Tribolium castaneum: one gene and its partners. The main gene of each other region encodes a partner of the protein of the gene in region 3 in a complex. Links are inferred from orthologs where the notes say so. Each region holds a gene or a part of one and is shown on either strand. Other genes may lie near its edges.

Region 1 (5,280 bases), about 6.1 Mb from region 3:
AGAGGTATCCTTTCTTGGGCAAAACTTTTAACTAGATTTTAAATGATTATTAAAAAGGTCTTACTTGGTCTCACAATTTAGTGAAATTAAAAAAAAACTATTAGCTGTATTGACATCCATTACCTGGTACAATTTTAAGCTGGAGGTAGTAGGTAGTAATAATGCTTTTGACTTTTTGGAAAATTTTATTATTTCGTCAGTTATCAGAGAATTTGTTAATATTTTGTGGAATTGCATAATAATAATAATGGCCTTCAACACTACTTGAACTAATGTTTTAAGTCGTGATTGTTGTCAATTTGTTCATTAACTGCGGCCAATGTTTTTATTTATATTTTTTCCTTTTTATTAAATATTCATAAGAAATGTGTATAATTTATGGATATTTTCACGCCCACGCTATATTTTATACCGTAATTCGCTTTTGTTTTTGCATTGTTGATTAAGTTTTTCTCAGATTTTATGAGCTTATTCAGAGATGATCTTACAGTTTTATTTAAATAGCAGGTTAGTTTTTAGAAAGTAACCTTTTCCAAAGTTTTGTTTCGAAACATATTGTTTGTATTGGTATTGGTATTTTGTTCATTTACTCAGGGCCGCCACGAGAAGTGCTATTTTATTTGTTATCTGTTCATAAAAGGTATATATTAGCTATTTCAAAATTATAAAAACGCCAACGTCGCATTTTCTCTCAAAATTATAACTAATGTAATTTATACTTTCAATGAGAGATCGAATCGTTAATAACTATTTTACATTTCTATACTTATTCAAATTAAGAAGTAATAGAGATTTGTGGTGATTGTGATTAACTGATTACTGACTAGGTTCAATAAATAAAGGAACAAATATTTATTTATTAGAAGAATTTTAAGTTTGACATAAAATGTATGTATTAAAATGACATAATAAACATTTTCGTATATCCCAAAACCTGAAGAGTTTTTTAAAAAACTGTACTTTTTTAACCCAAATTTACAAATTGTGTAACTATACTGTAACTTTATATTCAAACAAATTAATACTGTGTGATTTTCTAAAATATTGGTCTAGTTATCCGTGACAGTTACGTTAACCCGATCTCCATTACGGAAATAAGATTCCAACATATTTTTTTTGGTTCTTCGGTGAACATTTTAGACATATTGACAAATAAAGCGATGCTAAAGTTATTTATGCAAAATGTTTCATTGATGACGTATCTGTCATGGATAACTAGATCAGAATTTTAAAAAGTCGGTTGGTAGTTTATTATAATAAGATAACAGATAAATTGCTTCGATTTGAAGCATTGAACTATCGTAGATGCCAAATAATTTTTAATTTTAAAAATGATCGCTTCCCTGTTGAATAGAAAACGGGTAATGAATAGGAATTAAATTATTTATTAAAAGATTTTCTAATATATTTTGTGGGTTTTTGCAATTATTTTCTAAAAAATGAATCTTAAAGCGTTAATTCCGTTAAATAAATCGGAAACCATTTTTAAGCTTTACGTGTAAGTCTTTACAATTTTTTGCTGTCTAAATCTTCTTAAAAAATTGAAGTTATTCACAAATACAAATGCATCGTTTTTAAAAAGAAGACACAACTTGATCCAAAATTTAATAAGAAAGTAAATTTTTTAAATATTTCTGTCATCTACCACAACTTCGTTAAGATGAATATAAGGTGTTCGTTTGTAGTCAAAAAGTTTTATTTCTTTTCTTCGGCATACAGTTTTATTCAATCCGGTTTTATTAAAATTAGTTGGTGCTTTGGCGTCCTCTGACTCCTTTTTATTTTTATTTGTATGCTTTTTTCCATTTATTTTTGTTTATTTTTAAAAACAACTATCTTAATATTCTAATTTAAAATGGTATTTAAAAGAGCTTTTGGCGAAGCAAGTTTGCTCTTATGTTCTTATAGTTATAGTTTTTACCAAAAAGTTGACTAAAATAAAAAAAAAGTTTTTTTTATTTAAATAACATGGCTTGAAACTACAATAACAACTGTTTTTTTAGTGATATATGTGTCCGGAAAAGTACTCTTTCACGGACTATATTCCGTCCCTTCACTAATTAATAATTATATTGTTTTTTTTCATTATCCCCAAATTAATAAGCAGATTATTATAGACAACCAGTAATTCAGCCCCACATTACAAGTAATCTATGGACACTTGTCAATTTGTAAACTGCATTTTTCTAACCTCACTTCCAAGTGTTGTGTGAACGTTTTGGAGTTACGTTTTTAACTCGCTAAAATGTCTTTGGCCGACGAATTATTGGCTGATTTGGAAGAAAACGATCAAGATGATTTGGAAGAAGCGATGGAAGTTGATGAAAAACCGGACATCAAAGAAGAAAAACCCGACGTTAAAGACATCCAGTTAGAGGTAGACACAACTCAAATAACTTCAGTCCGAGAGTTGTGTAAATTACGGGACTCGCCCCATTTACATGAAATATTGAAACAAATCGAAGACCATGTGAAGAAGAGCCGAAAATACCACGACATCATAGGACCAGTTGAGTTGGACCCTGAGTATCAACTGATCGTCGAAGCTAACAACATTGCTGCAGATATAGACGCGGAAATTGGTAAGAGTTACGATTTTAACCAAATCAGTTGAAACTAATCTGTTTTATTGAAGCCACTGTCCATAAATTTGTGCGCGACAAGTACCAGAAGCGGTTCCCCGAGTTGGACTCCCTTGTTGTTGGTCCTTTGGAGTACTTGAAGACCGTCAAAGAGCTCGGGAATGACTTAGACCAAGCCAAAAATAATGAAATTTTGCAACAATTCCTAACGCAGGCAACTATCATGGTTGTCTCAGTCACGGCATCCACGACACAGGGGATTCTCCTAACGGACGTCGAAAAGAAACAAATCGACGAAGCTTGCGACATGGCCATAGACTTGAACAACTTCAAACTGAAAATTTACGAATACGTTGAGAGTCGGATGGCTTTCATCGCCCCCAACTTGTCGGCGATTCTTGGGGCTTCGATCGCCGCCAAGCTCATGGGGGTTGCCGGGGGTTTGACCCGATTGTCCAAAATTCCGGCCTGTAACGTGCAATTGTTGGGCCAACAGAAGAAGGCATTGTCTGGATTTTCACAAGTGAATATGTTGCCGCACACTGGTTTCGTTTATTACGCAGATATCGTGCAAAATACTCCGCCTGATTTGAGAAGGAAGGCTGCCAGACTTGTTGCCACTAAATGCACGCTAGCAGCACGTGTGGACTCGTGTCATGAGAGTAAAGACGGACGTATTGGGCGGCAATTACGCGACGAAATTGAACGAAAACTGGACAAGTTGTTGGAACCACCCCCAGTTAAGTTTATCAAGCCGCTGCCGAAACCTATCGACCAGTCCAAGAAGAAAAGGGGCGGGAAAAGAGTCCGCAAAATGAAAGAGAGATATGCGATGACTGAGTTCAGGAAACATGCCAATAGAATGAACTTCGCTGATGTAAGTTTGGTTTTTCTTGTATTAAATTTTTCTAGTATTGAAAATATTTCTTACATTGAAAATTACACAATATTGTTAGCCAATCTACTGTTGAAGCAGCATTATAGTTTCATTAGATTTTGATAACATACTAGAGATCACAATCTTCTTTGCAAAAAGTTTTCTATGGGTTTGATGAAAATGCAGTTTTATTATTCTCTTGATACTTACAAGACCGGTATCAATAAGTTGTAACGAATAAGCGAAACACATAACTTCAGGTGTACCCCAGTGCTCAGTTTTGGGCCCAATCCTTTTTTTAATTGGGGTGTTCGATGTTTTAACGAAATAACTCCAGTTTTAGTCTTTTTGAGAAAAATATAGAAACGTATGCTATAAAATTTTCTCTTTCAAATGCAATAACTGGTTTTGTAATCGATTGATTTATTTTAATGTCATTAAACAGTAACAGTTGTTATAACACCGAAAATTTGTGGACATTTATTCAGTGCAATAATGAGATAAGTCCATCAATCGTTTTTTTACTAGTCTAGTGATTATTGTTAAATATAATGTATTAAAGCTTCCGTATTATAACTTATGTCAAAATAAGTTTAAAAAAAATAGAGACAAAAATGCAGTAGTAACATTGAATTGAGTTAAATTTTCACGGGTTTTTAAAAACCAAACGGCTTTCAATTTGAAAAAAAAGCGGTTTCGTCTGTAATTCTGTACTGCATTCCTCCTCTTCGCGTTTTATACTAATTTTTATTTATTTATTTTTCAAACAAAATCGATTACCATGATACTGAATGGAATCAAATAAACAATGATCTAAAAAGAATAGCCAAACATTGCAGTAATGTTAACTTAAAACTCAATGAAAATAAATATTCAGTCTTATACTTTGCATCTAAAAGTTGTAAATATTTTGAAGAATAATATATTAATATTTATATTATTAGTAATAAATTAAACGTTCTTGCAAAAAGAAAATCTCTAGGACTTACATTGACAGTGGAAAACACATTATTCATTATCAAAAAATGGTTCATCTCCTTGAAACTCTTACGTTCTAATTATCACATTCAGATTTCAAATTGAGAAATAAACTTATTGAAACTTTGGTAATTCTCCTTTATCTATTATTGCTTTATAATCTTATCCTTGTTTAAATGATGTTGATAGTTGAAAATAGATTATACAAAATTCAAAATATAATGTTATATATACAAAATTCAAAATATAATGTTATATTTTGAATTTTGTATCTTTGGCTTAAAAAAAATGTGATTACATTTCTAAGGTCGAGTTGTATCATCTTTAGTCCTGATTTAAATCCCTAACAATTATTCTCATAACAATGGCTATGGGTTTAATCCTGAAATTTTTTATACAACTCGACCTAAGTGTGTTTCTGACTTAATGTTGGAACTTCGGGATAAGATACTTGAGACTTCTAATAAAAGTATATTTAATATGAAAGTAAATCGAAATACAAAATGACGGAATTGATAAAAATATACACGGCACACTCTTATAAACAAAACTGTGGTTCACACGGAAACGAAACGCGACTCGTGAAACTTAGATGTCCAACACTTCCCCTCGAGTCGTGTGTCGTTAGAATGAATACTTCCAAAAAAAAAAAATTCATCCTTCCACTAAAACTTCTGGCAACTATCCTAACTATTGATAACTTGTAGTCCCGCTGCATTTACACTCCAAATATGTTTTTGTTTAGCGAGTCCTTTAGTTAGGAAATCAGCCACTTGCTGTTCTGTAGAGATATGCTCGAGAGATACTTGCTTGTCTCTCAAAACTTCGCGTACAAAATGGTGA
Region 2 (3,303 bases), on a different chromosome or scaffold from region 3:
ATTTCCCAATAAAAGCGTAATTTTCGCCATGCGTTCGACTTGCGTGCTTCCGCTCCTCGCGGCTTGTGCCCTCGCGCTCAAAATGTGCGCCCAAAATCACCGTTTTCTCAAATTCCACAAACTAAGGAGTTGCTTCAAGTCGACGCTTCCGATACTGTCGTGGAAACAATTCGATAACGTCCGCGATTGTATGCAATTCACGCGGGACAAAAACGGGCTAGCGTTTAATTTTAGCCCCCCTGAGCTCCAGAAAGCGCGGAGTTGCGAGGTGTTGGGGTGTCCGGAAGTCCACAACTCGACCACGTTTGTCTTTGACCCGAGTTACGATTATTACAGCGCTTATGGCGACTTTAACTGTGGGGGTGAGTGTTGGAAGGATGGCTTAATGTGAATTGAATTTTAGCCACAGCGAACGCAACTTGTCTCAGATCAGTCGGTTTGTTTCAAGTGGTTCAGGAAAAAATGAATTATTCCAGCGCCGCACGTCGGTGCCAGGATTTGGGGGGCGACCTGGCTGATATTTTGACTGAGGCAAGGACGAACGCACTAGCTGCGTTACTCAAGTCTTTGCCTAACTGGTACAAGGGGGCATACGTTGGCCTTGACGACATTACGGTTGAGGGGAGTTTTGAGACTCCAATGGGGGACTTTTTGCAATGTTCGCGGTTTCGGGCCTGGGCTGTGGGCCACCCAAGACCAGGACGAAGAAAAGAAGACTGTGTCATGTTAGATGTTGAAAAAACGTGGAGGGCACTCAATTGTAAAATTAAATTGGACTTCATCTGTGAATTTTATCCAACTCCTCCGGACAACACATTGAATGAATTTAAATATCAGAACTGTAGTCTCGTTAAAAGTAAGAAAAAGAAACAAGAGTGTGAGACAAATAACGAGTTATTTGAGCTATACAACAGCTCTACGAGAATCGATCAGTGCGCTTTAATGAACGACTTTGAGTTTTGAAACGTTTTTATTACAAAAAATACATTAGATTCTACGTTTTTGTGTACTTATGTAGAGCACATTGTTGCCCCTAATAAACGCATCCCCGAATTTATTTTTGAGTTGTCCGTTGACGTATTCCTCGGTTTGCTCCAACGCTATGTTCATGTAGCCATCGAGACAAGCCAAAACACCTAAAAACCAAATAATAGCCCCCTTCATTGACAAAAAACAAACATAACCTCACCTCTGTAATCTACACCACTATTCAACTTGACCACAACAGGCCTGGCGTGAATTTGTTGAATAAAAGACGAAAGGGCTTCTTTGCGACTCATCCTTATCAGCTTGTGGCTCAAATTTGCTTATTTAACCGCCTCGGCTGACAAAAACCTAACCTCAAATCGGCATGTACATAACCCCACTTCCTGTTTTTTTCACGCAAAACCATGTCGAAACCGCTAACATTCGTCACCGGCAACGCCAAAAAGCTCGAAGAGGTGGTTGCCATCCTCGGCTCGACATTCCCACGCAAAGTGGTGAGTCAAAAAGTGGACCTCCCTGAGCTCCAGGGCGAAATCGCCGATATTTGCGTGAAAAAATGCCAAGCGGCGTACGAAATCATCAAGGGGCCGTGTATCGTCGAAGACACGTGTCTGTGTTTCAACGCATTGGGTGGTTTGCCCGGTCCTTATATTAAGTGGTTCTTGGATAAGTTGGGTCCTGAGGGGCTGTTTCGACTACTGGCTGGGCATGAGGATAAGAGTGCCCAGGCCGTTTGTACTTTTGCATATCATCCGGGCGATGAAGGGGGCAAAGTGATTCTGTTCGAGGGGCGCACGGATGGAGAGATTGTGATGCCGAGGGGGCCGAGGGATTTTGGATGGGATCCGTGTTTCCAGCCAGTGGGGTACACGCAGACGTACGCCGAGATGCCCAAAGAGGAGAAGAATAAAATCTCTCATCGGTACCGCGCCTTGGACGCGCTGAGGAATCATTTTATGAACCAAGAGAAACAATAATGTTTTGTCGTTTTAGTTTTATTTGACTTTAATCAACTTAAATAAATTGTTTTGTTTGATTTGAGTGCTTTTTTGTTACGCTTTTCTTATTTCTCCGGCAGGTTTATAACAAAACAGTCCGGGGGGTAGTACTTTTTAGTACTCAAATGCCATTATTGAAAGGATAGTAATAAAGCGATCAGTAAAAAATTCGATTTTAATCAGTAAAAAATAATAAATCATCAGTATTTAATTCATTTTTGCACAGTAAAAAATTTAAATGACAAGTAAACCACGCACAGTATTTTTTTAAAATTTGCCCAATAAAAAAATCGTATATGCACAGGATCTAGTTTCAGTTTGCACAGTTTAAATAATAAACGCTCAGTAGCTAGCTTGCAGTCTAGGGCTTCGCCCCAGCAAACTAAAAGGAAAAATACTCCTCGAACGATTAAACTCAAAAACGTAAAATTGGAAATGTGAAATTCTACACACTCTAGTTTTGAGATGCTATTATTTACTGTGCATTTATTATTTTTACTGTGCAATTATTATTTTTACAGTCCATTTATTATTTTTAGTGTGCATTTATTATTTTTACTGTGCAGTTATTATTTTTACTGTGCATTTATTATTTTTACTGTGCATTTATTATTTTACTGTGCATTTATTATTTTTAGTGTGCAATTATTATTTTTACTGTGCATTTATTATTTTTAGTGTGCAATTATTATTTTTACTGTGCATTTATTATTTTTACTGTGCATTTATTATTTTTACTGTGCATTTATTATTTTACTGTGCATTTATTATTTTTAGTGTGCAATTATTATTTTTACTGATTAAAAATACTTGTCGTTTAAATAAAATACTGTGCATTTAATTTGTATCCTTATTGAAATCGTTTGTAATGTGACTAAAATAGTCCATAACAAATGTACGTGTGTAATATTGGTTACGTAAATTAAAACATTGTTTTCAAGACTATTTCTTCCACTTCAGAGCGTTTTTAAACAGCTATTTCTACGTAATATAAAATTAAATTATAAACGTTTTTTGAGTGCAATTTCAAACAAGCAAAAAATTTTTGGTTTCGGCAATAAATAAGATACACTTTTTCAGTGGTTTCAGTCAGAAATAATACCTAATCTTGTTAACAATGCAACGTAACTCTAGATATACTTACCCACGTTTTGAGTGCAACTTTCAAAGGAAATAAATTAAAAATAGCAATACTTATTCGTATCAAGTGCCATTTCCATTCGGTTTAGACAAAAAACATTTTTTAATTTTGGATTACCTTTATTAAACGGTTACAGAAAGACAATTTTCAATAAAACATATACAAATTACTTAAAAG
Region 3 (5,044 bases):
GATTACCGTGCAATCCCTATCCTAATCATGACTGATAATGGTGCTCACGGAAGTGACGTGAAAGGTCACGTCGAGAGCTGGTCATCAACCATTTATTTTTTTAATTAACTATAACTTTCTGTTCAATATTTTCCTTTATTACCGTTTTGTTGGAAAATATGGGAAATTGGTAATTTCTAATTAAAACACGGAACTCACTTTTAATTCATTTCATTTATCGCAAAAATTATTACACCGTTTGTACTCGTAGGGAGCCAGACTTTAAAACTTATTCATAAAACCATTATCATTATCGTACCCGTCCCTTAAAAACGATCTACAAAACAAAAACATTTCGTAACACTTTTCGTTAGGACTTTGTAAATAAAAACTGATAAAAATGAAACAATTTATACAATTTACAATGATGCCCAGTTTTCCTTAATTTAAAATTGCCACTTCTTTTTAGAGTAGCGCTGAATTTTGTTCACACAAAATTATAGTATTTATTTATTCTTAGTCATTTTACTTAACGCCGACTTTTGGAAATAACCGCCGTTTGCTGGCTCTGCTTGTTCCCCGACAAGACCACATACGGCGACTGCGTCTCCTTCTGCTTCGCTTGCAGCATATTCAAAGTCCCTAAGGGCGTATCCGTCGAACTCATCTTCTTCATCAACTGCTCCTGCACGCCCTTCTTTATCCTCTTCTCGATCTTATTTTTCCCCGGCCCTTTCCCGTGGAACTTATGCGAGAGATACCTGAAGGCCTCCTTCGAGTTCAACACGTGCCCATCATCGTCGATATACTCCAACTTAACATTGGGCTTAAACCCATCCTTCTCCTTAAACTCCATAATGGGGCCAGTGTACCTCTCCCGGCGGTTCGCGCGATCGCCCTCATCCCCGTAGGTCTTGTCCTCGATAGAGTAATGCTTGGCTTGCAAATGCGCTAACCGCGAATTCGACGGCCTCTTATTCTGCTCCTTGTCCAGGTACCCCTTGCTCATTGCAAGCTTCAAAGCTGCCCCAAGCCCTGTACTGACATCAGGCTCTTCGTCGAGGATTTGCACCTCTTGTGGGGCAATTTGCGGGCTTTCGTGCGGCTCGTTTGGATCGACTGAATTCCAGCCGGTTTTCTCCTCCTGCTCGACTTCGTCCATTTCGGGCTCGTCTTTCAGATCACGCTCGAAATCGATCAAATCTTCGGTTTCCTCGCGGTTGCCGGACTTGCCGTACGTTGGGATGTCGCCCAAAGTGCGGCAAAACTCCGCCGTGGCGTTCAGAACAATACTCCCCTCCAGGTTTTCCTCACTTTCGCTTTTAACCGGCGTTGATTTAACAATCTCAGCAACGAGGTTCTCCTTCTGTTTGATTTTGCGTGTCTTGTGCAGCGCTTTTTCCAAGAGATCGTCCTTCTCGTCCTCGAGTTTGACGTCCGTGGGGTATTCCATTTCGGGGATGTCGTCAATGGTCAAGTCTTCGAGCTCTTTCTTTGGGCGTCTTGAGCCGACTTCCTCGATGCCTTTGTTGTTAATTTGTTGCTCCAATTCATCAGCGGTCAGTTTTCCCTTAGTTCGGATTTTGCGGACTTTCTTTTTGGGTTTTTTAAATTTGGACAGTTCCTCGTCGTTGTAATATTCCGATGCGAGTTTTAAATCTTTTGTTTCAATCGATTCGATTCTTTTTTTGGCGAGTTTTTCCTTAATTGATTGCACGATTGCTTGTTTACGTTCAACCGCATTGTCGTAACCGATTTTGAAGCTTTCGCGTTTTTCGCCGTCGATTGTTTCGTCGTATTGGGCCAAAAGCGACTTTTCTTTGGGGTTGCCAAACTCGTCGTACTCCTGGTCTTCGTAGGCGTTATACAAAATCTTCTTCTTCTTGTTTATAACGTTCTGAAATTTGATGATAAATAATCATTCACTGTAAATATTTGTAACAAATTACCTTTTTGTATCTCTCGTCCTCAACCATGTTGACATTGACCAGGACATCCTCCTTGTCTTCATCCAAGACGCCCTTGTCTTGCAGCGTCAAGATAACATCCCTTTCCTCAGCAAAGCTATCAACATCATGCTCCACCCTCAGCCCTTTCAAATTCCTCTCAGTGTATCTCTGCTTCCTCTTCTCCTTCTTCTCATTCTCCACAAACTCGCTGACCCCAAACTGCTCATCCAACTCCTCCAACATTTTCGCCCTTTTCTCAGCCTCCTTCTTGGCCAATTCAATCTTGCGGTTCTTATCAACCCACGACTCCACATTATCATCACTATCACTGTCCCCCAGCAGCTTCACCTTGCCCAGCTTATTCTCCAGCTGGCGCTTTTCCCGAATCGTTGTCAATTTGCCCTTCAGCTTCTCCCTCTCGTGCTTATCCGCCCAATTCTCCGCCGGCTTGTGGTAAAACTCGCCCCAATCGTCCTTCTTCTTCCCGTCATCCCGTTTCTTCTCGGACTTGTCCCCCGAACTCACATCGAGCGGCTTCAGGCCGAGCTTCGCCCGCAGTTTGTTCGTTTCCTCAATCGAGAGACTCTCAGCGTTTTGCCCGGAGCCCGAAGGCTCATCGTCCGGAATCACCTCGATCACGTCGGATCCTGGCAAAAAATCATTCAAACGGGAAAGTTGGACGCGGGGTGCTTACCGTCGCTGTCGTAGTCGTGCTTCGCCCTCGCGTCGCGCTTCTTGTCCCTGTGGTGCCTCTTGTGGCGGTGGCGCTTCTCCTTCGGGGGCTCATGCTCGTCGGTGTAGCCGGGGCTGTGGTGGCGCCGCTTACGAGACTCTTTCTCTTTTTCTTTGTATTTTTTGCTACTAGAACCCATCCTTTTTACAAAATTTGAAGGAAATACCTACCGTACACAACGTCAATGCAACGTTTTGACGTGCGCGAAATCCGGATTGGTGGTTTCGCCGTTACGGGATTTGCCGAGTTCAAAAACCTAACCCCACATTTGCCAAGCCAAGATGACCAACTTATTGAAGCAATTGCAGGCGATGTACGAGCTTGCCCTGCACTCGAACATCTCCCGAGTGGTTTGTAGCCCCCTTTTGGGAGTCTGAGCCCCCAACTGTGCTTTTAGTGCGACTTGGCCCTGTCGGCGTCCGAGCAAAAGCCCGACTTTTTGCCCCCTTTGCAGAAGTTCCAGGTGATGTTGCTGTACGCCGATTCGCTGTACGAGACGCAACAGTTCGCCCAAAGCGAGAGTTTGTACCGCCAGGCCTTACAGCTCCGCAAACACCTCTTAAAAACCAAGTCAATGTCTAATAAAATCACGGAGAGTCAGCCCGAACTGGCCAGCGATGTGGAGATCAGGTTCAAGATACACAAGTGCTGCATGGCCCTGAAGCAGGTGAATGGGGCCATCGAGATGCTGCAGTCGATTCAGGCCCGCCTGCGGACCCCCAAAGTCAACATGGCGCTCGGCAACTTGTACAGGGAGGCCGGGATGGAGCGCTCGGCCATAACGTGCTACAAGGAGGTGCTCCGGGAGTGCCCGCTGGCCCTCGAAGCCGTGGAGAACTTGCTCAAGCTGGGGGTGAAAGGGGTCGAAGTCAACGCACTAATGGTGGAGGCAACTTCCGAACTAAACTGGCTAAACCTCTGGCTCAAAGCACAAGCCCAGTTGTACTCGCGCGACTTCGAAAACGCCGCCCAAACGTACAAAAGCATGGACAGCCACGGTCTACTCAAAGACAACACGTCGCTGCTGGTCAACCTGGGCTACTGCTACCACTACATGTGTGAGGACGAGACGGCGATTGCAGTCCTCCAGCGGGCGATTAAACTCGACCAGAACCTAGTCTTTGGTCGCGATTTACTGGCCACGCTTTTGGCGAGCTCGGGGACTTCCGAACACGTTGAGTATTTGGAGGATTTGATCCCGACCTCGGATATGTCGCTGTGGACGAGTGAGCATTGGGTGGTCATTGGCAATCTGATGTTTTCGACGAGACGGCACGAAAAAGCCGTTTATTTCGCACAGCAGGCGCTTTGTGCCTCGCCCAAAAACATAGAGGCGTTGCTGCTGAAAGCCAAGACGCTGGTGGAGCTCAGCAAGTACCAGGATGCCGCCCAGCATTGCACGGAAGCGATCCAGATCTGTCCGTTTCGATACGACTTGCACCAGTGTTTGGTCGAGTGCTATGTGAAGATGAATCGGCTGAGGGAGGCCGACTCCATGGCGCAAAATGCGTGCAAACAGCTCAATTTCAGCCCACATTCGGTTACGGTAAGTGAAAAAATTGTAATACGGTAAAGAGAGAATTGGCTGTTAGACTGTTTTTTTGGGACGAATTATTTTAAAAACGTATCACTTTTTTTTCGTTTGCCTTCATCTGGCAAACTAATGCGCTATCTGAGAGGAATATCGGGATGGGACGTTGTCTTTGCTTTAGGTGTCGAAACGGATTAGGCGCCATTAAGTTGTTTTCTTATTTATTCCTCAAATAACAACAATTACAAAAAATAGTTTCACTGCAGTTGCACGCCTCCGTTTTACTCAAAGACCCGATGACGTCCGGGAAAACGGTGCGAAACCTCCTCGAGAAGGCCGTGAGCCAAGACAAGACGTTTTCCACTAAGGCCGTCTGTATGCTCGTGGAGTTGCTCGAGCAGGAGCAGCAGTACGACCAAGCTCGGCAGCTCCTGCTGAAGCACGTGGAACAGCACCCCACCTCGCGCATCCACCAGATGCTGGGCGACTGCTACGTCAATTTGAACAAGGACAGCGAGGCTTTCCACCACTACAACGTGGCCCTGCGGCTCGACCCGTCCAACCAGAGGGCGACCGAGGGCCTGAGTTGCATCGGACGCAACGTGTCTTTAAGCAAAAGGGAGAGCTACTACACCTGCGTGGGGGAGACGTCGTACACGTCGCCAGGGACGAGCGCCTCCGAGGACGATGTTTTTGTCCAGAACGATACCGAACCCTGGCCTACCAATATGAGTTTCTAGGTGATAACAATTTTTTTTACAATAAAAATATTTAAAGTCACGCGACTTTGTTTTCAACAATCACAGGGTTACATTTCCCTAATTATTTACGTGTTAAAATACAAAGTGTTAG
Region 4 (3,653 bases), on a different chromosome or scaffold from region 3:
ATTCCATTGGTTGCATTTTGTTATTTTTGTCGGAAATATAAAACAAAGTTGGTATTTGTAAAGTTTCAGGGCCGTATTAAAGTTCGAGCAAAAAGGAGCAATTTGTACAGTAATTTTGTAGTTATTTATCTCATTATCTATTATTAGTTTTTATGAAGAAAACTCTGCATCGAAGACTTTTGACCTGTAAATTGGTAGGTACCAAGAAATTAATGAACCCAAATTTATTCATTACCAAAAATCGAGCACATAAATACCAAAAAAGCTTTAATTTAGACATCACTGTTATGCAGGCTTGTAATGTTGGTTGCATACTCGATGGCAAGCAATTTCTATATTTATTTTGATTTTGAGAAAATATTTCTTATCTCAAATCTGAATGAGTGATAATGTTTTAGCTTTAACTTTTTGTATTGAAAGTAAGAGAATGTTCCTAAATTTGTAAAATAATTATTAATATAAAAAAAATTGAGGTTAAATAAAGTGATAGTCCATCTGTTTCTGTATTGATAGTCAGTGTTTAAGACCACCCGAAAAATGGGGCTATCTTTAGGAGAATGTTCCGTCATGAAGGAGGTAATCAGTAAAACGTTAATTTTACCAAACTCATTTAACCATTTGTAGATAACAAAAACAGAAGAAGCAATCAAAGCCTGTTACGTGAGGGTCCAACTTTTAGAAAAAAAGATCGAATCTGATGAAATCCCCAACGAGAAAAAAGCCGACATGAAGAAAGAGTTACGAGAAGTTCGCAAACTTTTAACCACAAACGAAAACCAACTTTCACAACTCCACAGACACAATCGAAAATCATTCGCATTTGTAGCCGCCTTCTGTTTTGTTTGTTTCACAGTTTACGTTTTATACATTTTAGTACAAGGTCCCGATTTTTAATAACAAAGACATTTTAAACCTAAATATGTTTTATTGATGAATTTAGCAGAATTATAAAAGTTTTACAAATACTGGAACTAAACGAAAAGATTCACACTTACAATTACGAAACTTAATTTAATGAACGTATTCTTATCTACGCCCTCTCCCTCTGCCCCTGCCTCGGGGGCCCCCTCTGCCACGGCCCCTCCCGCGGCCTCTGGCAGCCCCCCGGGCGCTCTCCTTCTTCTTGGCCTTGGCTTTGGGGGTGTCGTCAATCAGCAGAGTCTCGAGGGGTAAACTATCGGGCAAAATGTAGTAACGAATGTTGTTTCCTCTAACTGTTAGGGTGTCTAAGTTCACAGGATTTCGGTTCTTTACAGTCACTTTTACAGCTTTTAAGTGCGTATTCATGGCCACATCTACACCGGTTATAGTGCCATGGACTTGTGTGCCGTTTTTCAGCTCCATTGTGACCGTTTCATGGCTCAGTTTCATTAAAAACCTGAAAATGGCCGAAATGTTAGGTTAGGTGGTTTTTCAGGAGTTTTACTTGGAATTCAAGGAAATAAAAACGTGTCTGATCAATCAGTAGTTTACGTTCTCACCTTACTAATTTCATGTTGATATTTTTGGTGTAATTAAGACAATTTTTATATTATGCCGGCAAAACACGCTTGGCTTACGTTTTTTTACCCCCCCTCTTCCATAGAGGGAAAGAGAATGAGCATATAAGAAAGAGATGGCAAGAAAACTTGCGAAGGGAGCGCCACTTACGTGGCGCCAATTTTAAATCGTTATTTTTTTTATAGGTTTGCAGATAATTATGGACTCTGAAAATAAAAACAATTCTTTATTATTTACTATTATCACAGCTATTATCAAAATAACCTTGCTATTGGCACGTAGTAACAATGAAATATTTTGCTTTATACAGTCGAACTTCGATCACCCGAATAGGCCGTTGCCACTTCAAATCATCTTTGTAGAATACAGTGGAATAATACTTTTGTTGAGTTCAAGTGATTCCTGTTATTATAATATGAGCAATTTTTTTAACTAATCCAACAAAGTGTTTACCTTAAAAATCTCAACTCTCTCTAGTGCATCTAGTGTTCTTGTTCTTAATTTTTATTAGTTGCGTGTTTTTAGTTAATTAATTAATTAAACAAAAATTCGTGTTATAAAAATTTTTCGAATTCAAAATTTGAAATTGAACAAAATAATTGGTGGAGTCGGTTTATCCCCGTTCGGGTGACAGGGGTTCCACTGTATGAATACATTTTGCGGAGAAAAATTTAAGATTAGGTCGATTATATAAATTATATGTTAATAAGAAGTTAGAAAATACTTATCTGAAAAGTTAAAAAAAGTAATTTTTGACTTGTTTTCGCCTAAATTATAACTATAACATGAGAAAGATACGTTTTTAGTTTGACAGTTTTTGAGTGAGGCTTCAAAATTGCTGAAATTATGTGGACACGATTATAATGGGCAAAATTAGATTATAGGATAAGAGGGTTAACCTACAGAAATTTGGGCATAATTATTCACTGTACATAATAACCCCACTCTCCCCTACCTAAAGTATTTGAAAAACACTTGTTACTGATTAATTTATGTTATTTATTACAATATTAGAATAGATAACACAAAACTAGTAATAATCATTTTCGCAAGATCTCGGGTCCGGTCGCAACTCTGACCTCTGTCGAAAGAACTGAAAAATTCCGGTTAGTTTTAAGTTATCAAATGACTACGTTGCAAGTACAAGTTTATTAGTACAATTTTATTAAAATGTTACTTAAATAAAACCATTTTTACCCAAAAAATTTACAAAAAGTCATTTTTGGATACAAATTTTCTAGTTTTACTTTTTTGAATTATGTTAAAAGACTAGGTGGTTATTTACCAGTGAACGATCGATTATGAAATTTAAATAAAAAAAAGGATAAAATTGGATTATGAAATTAATAATAAATTAGTGTGACTCAATAATTATTAATTTTTTGTGGCAACAAGCAGTGAAAACAGTGAAAACACTTGGCTAAACTAATTAGTTACAAACTAGATTAAAAAAAGTAAGTTGTAATATTTACAAGTTTATTTTTTAATTCGTAGGTATATTAAAACTGTCCGTTCCTGCTCTGATGAGGTCATTGTAGAAGAAATAAATTTTTTTTTAAATTATTCTTCGAAACAAGAAATATTTTTAAAAAAGGTATACTTGTACAGACTGTTCAAAAATGGTTGTTCAAGTCGACTAAGGAATTTAAATTCATTGAATCACTTCGTTTAAATAACTTATAATCTCTGCATTTTGCATTTTTCGGTAAGAGACCGGAAGAAGAGATAATAAAATATTTAAACATTACCAAAAAAACTCATATTTTTTTTAATCTCAAACCCTCTTTAACCACAAACTTATCAAATAAAACGAGATCAAATACCACAAAAAATATAGAGGAAAGAATAAGAAAGGCTTTCTATAGAATTGATCATGCTACATTAAATAAAGTGGTAGTCAATTTACAAAAAAAATTAGGAAAGTAAATGTCACAAATAATATACAGGACGCTCAAAAACTGGCGCACCAACATGTTGAAAACATGTGTGGATTACGGAAAAAATCTGAAACTAGAACTTATTTTGTCCACTTGTTCAGTTTTCATTAATTATTAAGTAATTGTTCCCTAGCAAAACGATGAGTAATTATTTTTAAATTTACTATCAGGCTTTAGAAGTTGTTTGAATTAAAAAAAATAAATTCAGCAAAAAAA
Region 5 (3,508 bases), on a different chromosome or scaffold from region 3:
ACCAATTAGTGTCTTTAATAAAGTTACAAACTTGACAATAAATTAAATTTGACAGTTTCTAAGAAAAACAACTAAAAATATATTAAAAATTAAAAATCAAGTTGCGTTGTCCGACATTTTTAAATCACCCTGTAGAACTGATCATTTTTTCATTTAATTTTTTTATTGAAAATGCTTTTGGTGAATGGTGATAGTCACTGCAATAATCATTTCTGTACCATAAAATCACCTTACATCACTTAAATGTCATGAATTGGTGTTTTTTCTTTTTGCATGCTATATCGTTGTCGTATTTCATGGCAATGTTTATGTTGCAGTGGCTATTGACCTTATAGTTCACCACATCTGGGATATTTTGCATGGGACTGAACGAGAAAATAACTACAAGTCCATTCCATCGACACAAAGTCGGACGTAACGACTTTACTAACTTTTAATACCAGTTTAAAACCAAAGTATCTTACTTTTCTAATAAGGGTATTGTATAAGACTGGAACTAGCACAACATGGTCAATTGTTAAAAAAACGTATTATTTTTTGGATCTGATGTATTACAAAAATTGTGTTTTGCTTTCTTAATAAACCTATGCATTAAACCTGTAACGTTTTTTTTTTGTTCTTCAGTGGCCATCGAGTTAATTGTGCAACATATCAGAGAAATTTTAAGTAACAGACAAAGGGCATCTGAGGAAAGAATTGTTCAAGTGGCTGCAGCTGCTGTAAATCTAACACCAGTGCATTCACCAGCCAAAAAAGTCAATTCTGGAGGAGACGGCCAATTTAAACGACCTCATTAAGATTCATTCTTTATGTAAATACATAGTTAGTGCTTTACTTCAGTTAATTTTTAAAACGCCAAAGGAATTAGGATTAGAAATCACTTGTGCCATTTTATTCATTCTTTATTGCACAGCAAATATACTCGTTTTACAGGGTTTTTAATTGTGTTAAGGTTGTGAATTATGTACTTATAAAAAGAAATCGGTTTTTTGTGTGATATTGCAATACCAAAACGTTTGTTTGATTATTAATTTAATAAAAGACTTTTATTCTTAACCTATGGTTTTTATTTATTATAATAGAAAATTAAAAAATGGTGAATTATTGATAATACAGTTCAAGATTCATCCCATCATGGATTTCATCTGTTAATTAAAATTAAGGAAAATGGCAATAAATTGGAACATTTTTTTTGCAACTGTACGAAAGGATACAATCCTGAAGCTGAATGTGATCTTTAAACGTGGTGTACCATTTTTTCAGAACAATCTTATCCCATTTAGTGCCAGTTTGTGCAGCTATAAGTTTTTTCAAATCACCGACAGTATCATCAGGGTTACATTTAACCCGCACTTTTTTGCCCAAACGGTCGTTGCACGTTATTTCAATCATTTTCACCACTGAAAAATTTCAGTCAAAATGTGTGCAAACACTAATGTTGTTAATTTTTATTTATTATGGAATTTGCTAGAAGTCACACTGCTGACAGTTGACTGTGTAACTGCTGAACTACTGTTAGAAATTTTGAACTATCGTGGGTAGATAGTTCGTTTCGTTTGCGTAGTTCATTTAAAGTTACGTGTCTGCGTGGAGCTTTTGGCTCTCTACAATCAAAAATGAATATTCCAAATGAATACATTTCAAGTGCCGAAGATGTAGCAGATCAGGTAATATTCGCTAGTGAAAAGCACAAGTAATGTTTTTACTTCGTTATATTTGAAAATTTCTGTCAAGATCATTTATAATTTCCAAAAATTCGATAAATGTCACGTCACCCGTTTAACTTTCTTACAAAAAGAGAAATAATCAACAGGTTTTTCGTACTAATTGAGCCATTACGTGCAATTTTTTATGCGTTCCATATGTTGTAAGCAATAATTTTCTTCTAGGTCATCAGAAAACTAAAACATATTCTTCCAACTGTCGCTCGTTTATGTCTCATTTCAACATTTTTGGAGGATGGTTTACGAATGTGGTTCCAATGGTCCGAACAAAGGGAATACATGGACATGTCATGGGGTTGTGGCAAATTTCTAGCCACTATTTTTGTTTTAGTCAATTTGATTGGTCAGTTAGGAGGTTGTGTGATGGTCATTATAAGATACAAAGTAGCTATTGCGTGTGGTGTACTTTTTTTTATTGTTGTTTTACAAGTAAGTCTCAAAAAAATCAACAACCAAAAACCAAAAAATTGATTGCAGACTTTAGCATACAGCATACTATGGGATTTGCAATTCTTATTCAGAAATCTCGCTCTAATTGGTGCACTTTTACTAGTCTTGGCTGAGAGTAGGGGCGAAGCCAAGAGTTTATTTGCAGGTGTACCTTCATTAGGCGAAAACAAACCTAAAAATTACTTGCAACTGACAGGACGTATTTTACTCGCCTTCATGTTCATCACACTGATACGCTTTGAACTCAGCTTTTTACAGGTAACTATTATTTAATTCAAGTTGGCAACATTGATCCGATTGACCGTTAAATGCAAACGTCAAGGTGGCCAATATTTTTTTACAAATTTGACGTGGAATCACTGACTCAGCACATTTGTTTACACAAACATGATAATAATTATTAAGCAAATCGTTGTTTATAGAAAATAACATTGTATATAATTATTTGGCTTTTCCTTGGTTGGCTACGGCTTCCATGGCCTTCTTGACCGTTTCTGGATCGCCTAAAAATTGCAAACTGCCTCCCTGTGCTGGTTTCATGTTCTCTTGCAGCATATAAACGAATGGAATTCCAGTCGGTAGATTAAGTCCCATTATTTGTTCATCATTAAGTTGATCTAAATGTTTGACGATTCCTCTTAGACTATTTCCGTGCGCTGCAATCAGAATTCTTTTCCCGGCTTTAATTTGTGGTACAATAGTTTCGTTCCAAAAGGGCAAAGTTCGTTCAATTGTCAATTTGAGCGATTCAAATTTGGGGAATTGTTCAGGAGGCGGTCCGTTTTTGTATCTCGGATCGCATACGATGTCTTTATAGTGTGGATGGTCATTTTCCATGGGGGGCGGCGGTACGTCAAAACTCCGCCTCCAAATGGCCACTTGTTGTTCGCCGTATTTGGCGGCAGTTTCAGTTTTGTTAAGGCCGGTTAATGCGCCGTAATGACGCTCATTGAGACGCCATGTCGTTTGAATGGGAATATCGCATTGATTTAGCGTTTTTAAGATAATCTGAAGAGTGTCTTGTGCTCGACTTAGGACCGAAGTGTAAGCTTGGTCGAATTTATAGCCGGCGTCTTTGAGGGTTTTGCCGGCGTTTGCCGCTTCTTGTTTACCTTTTTCGCTCAATTTTGCGTCGTACCAACCACAAAAAAGGTTTTTTTGGTTCCATTCTGATTCGCCGTGACGGACCATTACGATTTTATACGGTGCCATTGTACTGTAATTTACTAGAAATTGTGACAGTTTGGGTAATTTACGTGACACGAGTTTTTCCATGATTGCTTGTTTTTATTTTATCATTTAGTATTATTATTCAACGATTTTTTTGGGAGTTG
Region 6 (3,708 bases), about 6.3 Mb from region 3:
CCATCTCCTAGAAAATGGGTTGCACTTTCTCGTTTGCCTTATATGTGTGTGGATTTAATTTGTCGGCGACGCAATGGTTTCATAACGAGGTCGAGGCGGGTTTTATTGGAAAATTTGAGACGACACAGGATAACGCATTGAATGAGACAGGAAACGCTAGAAATAGTCCTCCGCATCCGACTGAAAGAGTTTTATAAAAAGACCCATTCATTATGCGGAAAGATGAAGCTAGAAAACAGTTTTATAATTCGAATTGCCAGCTGCCGGCCAAATAAATTTAGACTGAATTAATGGGGTTACGTCAGTTTAATTGACACCTGTCAGGCGAATTGTTTACAAAATTGCAACAAGTCAACATTTTTGCAACCGCTGATCGCTGACCTCCCACTTAATTATTGCACCAATTTCCAAATATTGGTGTTATCAAGATTAATATTCAATTTAATTTCAATCGCTACTGATAACACGCCTGTTAATAATGTGTTAACTTGGGACAAATTTAGGTTATGAGGCAGGTGGTTAGGATAAGCGAAGCGTTTGTGTCCTTACCTAGGTCATCCATGGTAATAAGCTGCCGTTCTAATACTAATTTTAAGCAAAACTTCTCAACTACATCACGAATTATCGGCACTTTTTAGGAAAATGACCTTATTTAGGCATTTTCGCAGAATCACAAATGTCAAGATATGAAATTCCAGACGGTCAGTGTAGGCAACCTTGAAAGAAGTAAACAACGGACGGGCAGCGCCTCTCAACAAGTTTTGCAAAATTTTAAAAACCAAAATTTTTTTCCCGCACAAACCTTGCGAATTAACTGACTGAGTTGCCCCCCGTATCTAAGTGACTTGATAACTGCGTAACGAAAATTACGTTAAGTTATGATTTAATAAAACATGATAAGAACTGATAGTGATAAGGACGTCTAAGAAGACTGCAAAATCCAGCACAAAAATAAAATTAAATTCGTTGCTCTTGTTTTTATTTAACTTTAGTCACCGTTGGTGAAGTCCCTGATCGGGAATCCCCACAACCCAGAGATAAAAACCATAACAAGAAGATAAAGTCATAGACCCCACAGGTCACCGTATATAAATGCAGAAGTTTATCATCTCGAAGGTTACTCGTGTTGTTCCATTAAAGGACGTGCTAATTAAATAAATAATTTTAATTTTGCATACAAGGCAAAGTTGAATATGGGACGAAAGTTCGTGATTATTTTCTCAATTTTGCACCAAATTCTGGCTCGAACAGGTAAAACCACCGCTCAAACCCCATCCATTGCTAAATGAGGTGTTTCCAGAGTCAAACTTGCCGGCAGTGTGCCCCGAAATCGTGAGTCGCACTAGATGGGGGGCTCGCACTGCTTTGGAAGTGGATTACGCCCTAATCCCTGTCGAAAACGTGGTCGTGCACCACACGGTGACCAACACTTGCAGCACTGAGGAAGAATGTGCGGCGATTTTGCGAAACATTCAGAATTTTCACATGGAAAATCTAGATTTTCACGATATTGGATACAAGTAAATTTGATGATTTTTGTTTTTTTTTTTTTAATTATGGTTTAGTTTTTTAGTGGGTGGTGACGGCCAGATTTACGAGGGCGCAGGTTGGCACAAAGTGGGGGCGCACACACGTGGGTACAACTCCCGGTCTTTGGGGCTCGGTTTCATCGGCAATTACACGAGTAGGTTGTTTTTCGTGTTATTTTCGTACTTTACGAGCCTTTTATTACAGCTCAACTTCCAAATAAAAAGCAGATACAAGCCGCTAAAGATTTTCTCCAATGCGGGGTTGAGTTGGGAGAGTTGGGCAAAAGTTTCAAACTGTTTGGGGCCCGCCAAGTCAGCGCGACGGAAAGTCCGGGCCTAAAGCTGTACCGCGAACTACAGAACTGGCCGCACTTTACCAGGTCCCCGCCGAAATAAACTGTATTCTAGTTTTTAAAATAAAATTATTATAAAGCATACGATTTTGAATTTAAATATGGCGCCCATTAGTCGCAAGTTTGAGGTTATGTTGTTTTGATTATTCGAGGTTAGGGAACTAAAAACCGTAAAAATGCCGAATTGGGACCAAATTCAAGCCCAGTTGAAGCACCCAGCGAACCCGGTCGTGTTTTTCGACATTTCCGTCGGAACTACGGTACCAATAACCCAAAATTTCCGAAAACTGTATTTTTCGATTACAGGAAATCGGCCGAATGATTTTCGAGTTATTCGCAGACGCGGTCCCCAAAACCAGCGATAATTTCCGCCAGTTTTGCACCGGCGAGTTCCGCAAAGACGGCGTGCCGTTGGGCTACAAGGGGGCTAGTTTCCACCGAGTTATCAAGGACTTTATGATCCAAGGGGGCGACTTCGTCAATGTAAAAATCACGGGATGCGATTCCGCAACTAATTAATATTTTTAGGGCGATGGGACCGGCGTTATGAGTATATATGGGGGCGGAACGTTTCCCGACGAAAATTTTAACCTAAGACATGACGGTCCTGGACTTCTATCAATGGCAAACAGCGGCAAAGACACCAACGGTTGCCAGTTTTTCATAACTTGTGCAAAGTGTAATTTCCTGGACGGCAAACATGTGGTGTTTGGACGCGTTATTGACGGACTTCTCGTCATGCGGAAAATCGAAAACGTGCCCACGGGGCCCAACAATAAGCCCAAAATCCCGGTCACAATTGTACAATGTGGCCAAATGTAGTAGTGTAATTCAAATTTTAATAATAAAAGCACAAAATAAAACTTAGTTTAAATTTTTATTTTGTCAGGTTGGTGGTCCCATAACCTCACTTGTCAAAAACGTAAATAATCGTGAAATGGAAAATAAAAAAATATCGTTCGGTTTCAGCAAAATTAGTAAAAAGACCGAAATCAGGTCAAGTGTTCCGAAACCCGAAAATAAGATACAGCTAATTGACTGTTTAGAGGGTCAATCAATTAAAATAAAAGGGTATGTTTCGTTTTTGAGGTTATGTTATTTTTGCCAAAAACCTCATTTTAGTGCCGTTGAGGAGACAAATGAGCCGTTGGTGATACCAATCCAAGGCCCATCAAACAAATTAATAGACCAAATAAAAAAAGCGAGGGAAAAACACGTCAAACCTGAAGTTAAAGAAGAGACAGGGGAGGCAAATTCTGTGCCAGACTCTGCCCTATCTCTTGACGAATTAGCGGCAAGAGAGTTAATCCGAGGTACTTACCCTATGTTTCAAGTGATTTTCTAGTGTGAATAAAATTTTCAGAGGCACAGACTCGCAACACTGTACAAAGCGAGACAAAAGTCTACTCCTTGCCTTTAAATGACGACAAGTTTGTGGCAGAGGGGGCACAGGAGTCGTCTCTCGACGACTACGAAAGTGTACCAATTACAGATTTTGGTATGGCGATGTTACGTGGCATGAATTGGAAAGAGGGAATGCCAATTGGGAAAAGGACCAAAAAGTTGGTTTAACTTTTCTAAAACACATCCTGAAAATGATTTTTTCTAGATCTGAGGTCCCAAAAGTCCCAGAGTTGCGCCCCAAAGGCCTGGGCTTGGGTGCCAATAAAATGGTCAATTCCAGCACCCCTTCACAAAGTGTAGATAAGGAGGGTAAAGCGCTCCAGCTTGTGAAGGGGGCTTACGGTAAAATAATAGCCGGCAATCACAGAAGTCAATACTGCCAAGTCCAGGGTCTGGATGACGAAAATTGCAGAGTTATAGTG
Region 7 (3,599 bases), on a different chromosome or scaffold from region 3:
CAAATCGCCGTAGGCCACGGCGAATACATCATGCCACAACAAAACACCATCTATCGCACCCCACAACCCATCATCCAGCAACAACAACAAATGTTACCAACCGAAGAAATGATTGAACCACGCCCACCACGACCGAACTCAATCGAAATACGACGCTCGTACCAACAGGAAACCACCGACGGTCTCCATTCCCCCACTTACCCCCCGTACGAGGAGTATGGCCAAGGCCCACTCAGTTCCGAATCATTATACCAAGGAGGCACGCCCACACGAGGCGGTAAAGTCCGCCCAAGCCAGCCCCCACCCGCACCACCTAGCAACACGAGCACGCCCTCGTCCAATACCCCGACGCGAGGGCGGAGCCTCTCCGGCCGCGACAACCTACCACCACCGCCCCCACCACCCGACACGACCATGTCACCGCCCAACGGCATCCCCGCACATCTCGCCACCCAATCGCGTTCAAACAGTCCGCATCAAGCCACACCTCCCGAACCGGTGCAAGACTTACCTCCACCACCGCCCATACCTAAGCAAGCCTCGCCCCCCAAACAACAAACTCCACAAGCCCCGCCTCCGCCACCACCTCCACCAATGCCGTTACTGAACGGCCCGACGACTAGTCCCCCATTGGTTAACGGCGATTTGGCGAAAATTATAAATAGTGCGTCGCCGCCGCAATTGACACCTGTCAAAGATCGGCCAAAGCAGGCGCCGCCTATCGTCGATCCCAGGAATGATTTACTCAAAGCTATCCGAGATGGGATTAAGTTGCGCAAGGTGGAGAAGATTGAACAGAAGGAGGTGGAGAGAGGGAACGGTTTCCACGATGTTGCGAGTATTTTAGCTCGGAGGGTTGCAGTCGAGTTTAGCGATTCGGATTCAGGAAGCGATTCGGAGTGTGATAGTGAGGGTTGGGGCGAAAATGAAACGTCGGCGTGACATAGAAGGAAGGCTAGCACGGCTAGTCAAGTGTATTGAAGCAACGAATTTTCAATTTTTAACGAGCAAACTTTAGCAATATGCCAAATTTCCAGTATTATTGAGGCATTGCATGATAAGCTTATTAGATTGCGTTTACAGTGGATGGTTTTGACTTGGGTTGAGATGTACATATTGTAATGAACGTTTTATTTATAAATTAAGTTGTATAGAGAATTATTTAACTCGTACTATCCTAATACTCCTTTTTAATATTTTAACCAATTATCAGGAAATCTTTGTAAAATACGATATTTAATGGGTAAATAAACATCATGTCAACGTATGTGTTTTATTTACGAAGTGCGCATTGGGGGTGAGACCAAGATCACGCCGTCACCTCGGACGAAAAGCATGGGAATATTACGTTTCGTCGTTCTGTAAACCTCTTCATATGTTTCTTCATCGATTTCAACCGTGGTTATGGTCTCTTCGGCGTCGCTCAGGATCATGTTCATGTGTTGGTCATAAGCCTGGAATTTCGGTTTGTGATGGATGGAACTTTGTTAGACAACTTACGTGGAGTCTGCCCCGGATTTCTCGATCGTTTCGCATTTTTACATAAATACGTTCGTCTAAACTTAACCTCACTAAATCGAGCGGTTCTTTGACGGTGATTGAGGGAATCTGAAAGGAGTGGTAGGTGAAATGTAATTCTAAATGAAATGGGTCTTACATTTTCTAAGTCATCTGCCATTCTCACGAAAGATGATACTTGTTTGTAATATTAAATTAAACAGGCCAAAAGTTAGGTTAAGTTGTCGTTACAGTGTCGCCACAATAAGAACACCTTTTTCGATTTTAACGATATTCGGACAGACCGGTCTTGGCATGTAATAAAATTCGGGCGGAAGGTGTTTTTTTGAATCTAAAAAAAATTTGTTTTTTAATTAAAGCCACAGATTATTACCGCGTTTTACTTTTTAAAATAATACAATCACTCGTTTTAGGGATCATGCATAGTTTAACACTCACTAACACTTAGAAATCGGCAGATTATACAGGGTGATTCTTTTAGGACCTACATTAGAGACTTTTTAACTTTAAAAAAAACTAGTGCTTTAAAAGCGACTATTTGAAATTCAACTAAATTATTTTCAAAATTTCTGAGCTTCCGGAACCACGACAAATTGGCGCCAACTTTAAAATTTTGAAGAGTAACTAAACATTTTTATTACATTTTTTAATTCACTCTCTCAAAGTGAGTAAAATTTATTAAAATTGTTGGTACTTATCTGTCTTAGTTTTACATATGTCAATTTTTTTGGTAAAATTTTTATTTGCAAGGGTTTATTTAAATTATCACAGCCTTTGAACCGTTTAGGAGAAGTGAATATATTTTTTTTTAATTCGATTATCGGAGTTTCGAAAAGTTTTCTAAAATTTTCAAAATTGTCAACTGTCAAAATTCAAGGCTAGTATGATTTTTTTAAATGGTTATTAAAAATAAAATCGGCTATAATTCAGTTTTTTCAAATGGATCGACTCTATTTTCTTAACGGCAATCGAAAGAACAATATTCATGGTGATTTTTATCAACACGTCCTGTACCTTACCTGTTACAGTTTTTGAAAAAATCACAAATAACGGATTTTACTTCGTAATTTTTATAGTTAATCAAGTAGACCTTGCAAAATGGTCAACAATTGTCAAACTTCGACACTTTACTTAGTTTTTAGCTGGTTCATTATCAAATAAGCAGCAAAACATTAATATTTAATTATGGTTTATGCTAACTTAGTGAATAACTCAGTCAGTTTGCCATCGAATTTTGAACTTTTTGAGTGAAAATGGGGGACAGTTTTAAAATTTCTGTTAATCATTAGTACAATTTTATCGTATTTTTTGAAAGGTTACTCGATTAAAAATGAAAATAATTACCTTGAATTCGGTTTTTTGAGATTATTTCAAAAACTGTAAGAGATAGATATAGAAGATGTTAATAAGTCTGCATAAAAATTGATGTTCTTTTGATTGCCATTGAAGTCATTCCATTTAAAAAAACTGTTCTATAATTGTTTTTTAATTATCATTTTCAAAATATCATAGTAGCCTTGCAATTTGACAGTTGACAATCGTAAAGATTTCAGAAGACCCTTCGAGCCTTTGGTTATCAAATGCAAAAAGAATTATTCACTTATTTTAAAGTACTCAAGAGCTATGATGTTTTAAATAAACCTCTGCAAATAAAAAATTTATCAAAACATTTGACATATTTCAAAAACTAAGACAGATAAGTACTAACAATTAGGTTTACATTTTACTCAGTTTCAAAAGGCGAATTCAGAAACACAATAAAAATAGGTGGTCACCATTTAAAATTTCAAAGTTGTCGCCAATTTCTCGTAGTTCCGGAAGTTCAGCCATCTTGAAAATAATTTAGTTTTAACTCAGAGTGATCGATTTGAATCGTGTACAAAATTTTAAAGCTCAACCTATGTTAGAAGTTAAAAAGTTTGTAATATAGGCTCTAAAAGAATCAGCACGTATATAAAATTACTGGTTGCTAAAGTCCATTCGGAATTAAAATCAATTTTCAAATTGTTTCAACGTTGGCAACTCCATTTAAAATTAGTCGTCTATGTCAATGTGGCAGGGTTCCAACATAATTCCAAAAT

Evidence for each region.
Region 1: U4/U6.U5 tri-snRNP-associated protein 1 (region 3) and Prp31 share a complex: the UniProt entries of both Homo sapiens proteins name them as parts of the U4/U6-U5 tri-snRNP complex. The link is inferred for Tribolium castaneum from reciprocal best matches to the Homo sapiens genes SART1 and PRPF31.
Region 2: U4/U6.U5 tri-snRNP-associated protein 1 (region 3) and U6 snRNA-associated Sm-like protein LSm6 share a complex: the UniProt entries of both Homo sapiens proteins name them as parts of the U4/U6-U5 tri-snRNP complex. The link is inferred for Tribolium castaneum from reciprocal best matches to the Homo sapiens genes SART1 and LSM6.
Region 4: U4/U6.U5 tri-snRNP-associated protein 1 (region 3) and SmD1 share a complex: the UniProt entries of both Homo sapiens proteins name them as parts of the U4/U6-U5 tri-snRNP complex. The link is inferred for Tribolium castaneum from reciprocal best matches to the Homo sapiens genes SART1 and SNRPD1.
Region 5: the proteins of U4/U6.U5 tri-snRNP-associated protein 1 (region 3) and ubl are in contact, whole or in part, in a crystal structure (PDB 4PYU), measured with the Homo sapiens proteins. The link is inferred for Tribolium castaneum from reciprocal best matches to the Homo sapiens genes SART1 and UBL5. Residues at the interface, in NP_005137.1 of Homo sapiens: Ser117, Leu118, Ser119, Ile120, Thr123, Leu126, Arg127, Leu130, Leu132, Lys133, Leu135; in NP_001041706.1 of Homo sapiens: Met1, Glu3, Arg15, Lys17, Cys18, Asn19, Asp21, Asp22, Asp26, Lys29, Leu30, Ala33, Gln34.
Region 6: U4/U6.U5 tri-snRNP-associated protein 1 (region 3) and peptidyl-prolyl cis-trans isomerase H share a complex: the UniProt entries of both Homo sapiens proteins name them as parts of the U4/U6-U5 tri-snRNP complex. The link is inferred for Tribolium castaneum from reciprocal best matches to the Homo sapiens genes SART1 and PPIH.
Region 7: U4/U6.U5 tri-snRNP-associated protein 1 (region 3) and LSm3 share a complex: the UniProt entries of both Homo sapiens proteins name them as parts of the U4/U6-U5 tri-snRNP complex. The link is inferred for Tribolium castaneum from reciprocal best matches to the Homo sapiens genes SART1 and LSM3.

What each region holds. Positions count from the first base shown.
Region 1 is NC_087395.1:18,106,644-18,111,923, forward strand, and holds the start of Prp31 (U4/U6 small nuclear ribonucleoprotein Prp31), read left to right. Parts: upstream 1-2,150; 5' UTR 2,151-2,245; coding exon 2,246-2,582; intron 2,583-2,635; coding exon 2,636-3,459; intron 3,460-5,280. UniProt on the Homo sapiens protein: Involved in pre-mRNA splicing as component of the spliceosome. Required for the assembly of the U4/U5/U6 tri-snRNP complex, one of the building blocks of the spliceosome.
Region 2 is NC_087398.1:10,390,564-10,393,866, reverse strand, and holds U6 snRNA-associated Sm-like protein LSm6, read right to left. Parts: upstream 1,329-3,303; 5' UTR 1,281-1,328; coding exon 1,190-1,280; intron 1,137-1,189; coding exon 988-1,136; 3' UTR 964-987; downstream 1-963. Other genes in the region: uncharacterized protein LOC100142353, read left to right, coding at 29-362, 404-963; inosine triphosphate pyrophosphatase, read left to right, coding at 1,392-1,964. UniProt on the Homo sapiens protein: Plays a role in pre-mRNA splicing as component of the U4/U6-U5 tri-snRNP complex that is involved in spliceosome assembly, and as component of the precatalytic spliceosome (spliceosome B complex).
Region 3 is NC_087395.1:24,228,721-24,233,764, reverse strand, and holds U4/U6.U5 tri-snRNP-associated protein 1, read right to left. Parts: upstream 2,801-5,044; coding exon 2,623-2,800; intron 2,576-2,622; coding exon 1,929-2,575; intron 1,877-1,928; coding exon 509-1,876; 3' UTR 195-508; downstream 1-194. Other genes in the region: APC7 (anaphase-promoting complex subunit 7), read left to right, coding at 2,943-3,011, 3,059-4,207, 4,459-4,932. UniProt on the Homo sapiens protein: Plays a role in mRNA splicing as a component of the U4/U6-U5 tri-snRNP, one of the building blocks of the spliceosome. May also bind to DNA.
Region 4 is NC_087394.1:7,019,952-7,023,604, forward strand, and holds SmD1 (probable small nuclear ribonucleoprotein Sm D1), read right to left. Parts: upstream 1,637-3,653; 5' UTR 1,496-1,636; coding exon 1,482-1,495; intron 1,379-1,481; coding exon 1,027-1,378; 3' UTR 906-1,026; downstream 1-905. UniProt on the Homo sapiens protein: Plays a role in pre-mRNA splicing as a core component of the spliceosomal U1, U2, U4 and U5 small nuclear ribonucleoproteins (snRNPs), the building blocks of the spliceosome.
Region 5 is NC_087397.1:131,094-134,601, forward strand, and holds ubl (ubiquitin-like protein 5), read right to left. Parts: upstream 1,518-3,508; 5' UTR 1,393-1,517; coding exon 1,215-1,392; intron 1,146-1,214; coding exon 1,102-1,145; 3' UTR 1,045-1,101; downstream 1-1,044. Other genes in the region: Uck (uridine-cytidine kinase), read left to right, coding at 625-797; Surf4 (surfeit locus protein 4 homolog), read left to right, coding at 1,617-1,667, 1,890-2,153, 2,202-2,432; phosphoglycerate mutase 2, read right to left, coding at 2,616-3,449. UniProt on the Homo sapiens protein: Ubiquitin-like protein that plays a role in cell proliferation and sister chromatid cohesion by associating with spliceosomal proteins. Participates thereby in pre-mRNA splicing by maintaining spliceosome integrity.
Region 6 is NC_087395.1:17,966,129-17,969,836, reverse strand, and holds peptidyl-prolyl cis-trans isomerase H, read left to right. Parts: upstream 1-1,979; 5' UTR 1,980-2,058; coding exon 2,059-2,142; intron 2,143-2,188; coding exon 2,189-2,365; intron 2,366-2,410; coding exon 2,411-2,704; 3' UTR 2,705-2,749; downstream 2,750-3,708. Other genes in the region: peptidoglycan-recognition protein 2, read left to right, coding at 1,194-1,251, 1,301-1,520, 1,566-1,684, 1,735-1,925; G-patch domain and KOW motifs-containing protein, read left to right, coding at 2,820-2,953, 3,005-3,195, 3,246-3,444, 3,492-3,708. UniProt on the Homo sapiens protein: PPIase that catalyzes the cis-trans isomerization of proline imidic peptide bonds in oligopeptides and may therefore assist protein folding. Participates in pre-mRNA splicing.
Region 7 is NC_087399.1:10,143,360-10,146,958, reverse strand, and holds LSm3 (U6 snRNA-associated Sm-like protein LSm3), read right to left. Parts: upstream 1,816-3,599; 5' UTR 1,679-1,815; coding exon 1,658-1,678; intron 1,609-1,657; coding exon 1,501-1,608; intron 1,455-1,500; coding exon 1,278-1,454; 3' UTR 1,260-1,277; downstream 1-1,259. Other genes in the region: SCAR (actin-binding protein WASF3), read left to right, coding at 1-942. UniProt on the Homo sapiens protein: Plays a role in pre-mRNA splicing as component of the U4/U6-U5 tri-snRNP complex that is involved in spliceosome assembly, and as component of the precatalytic spliceosome (spliceosome B complex).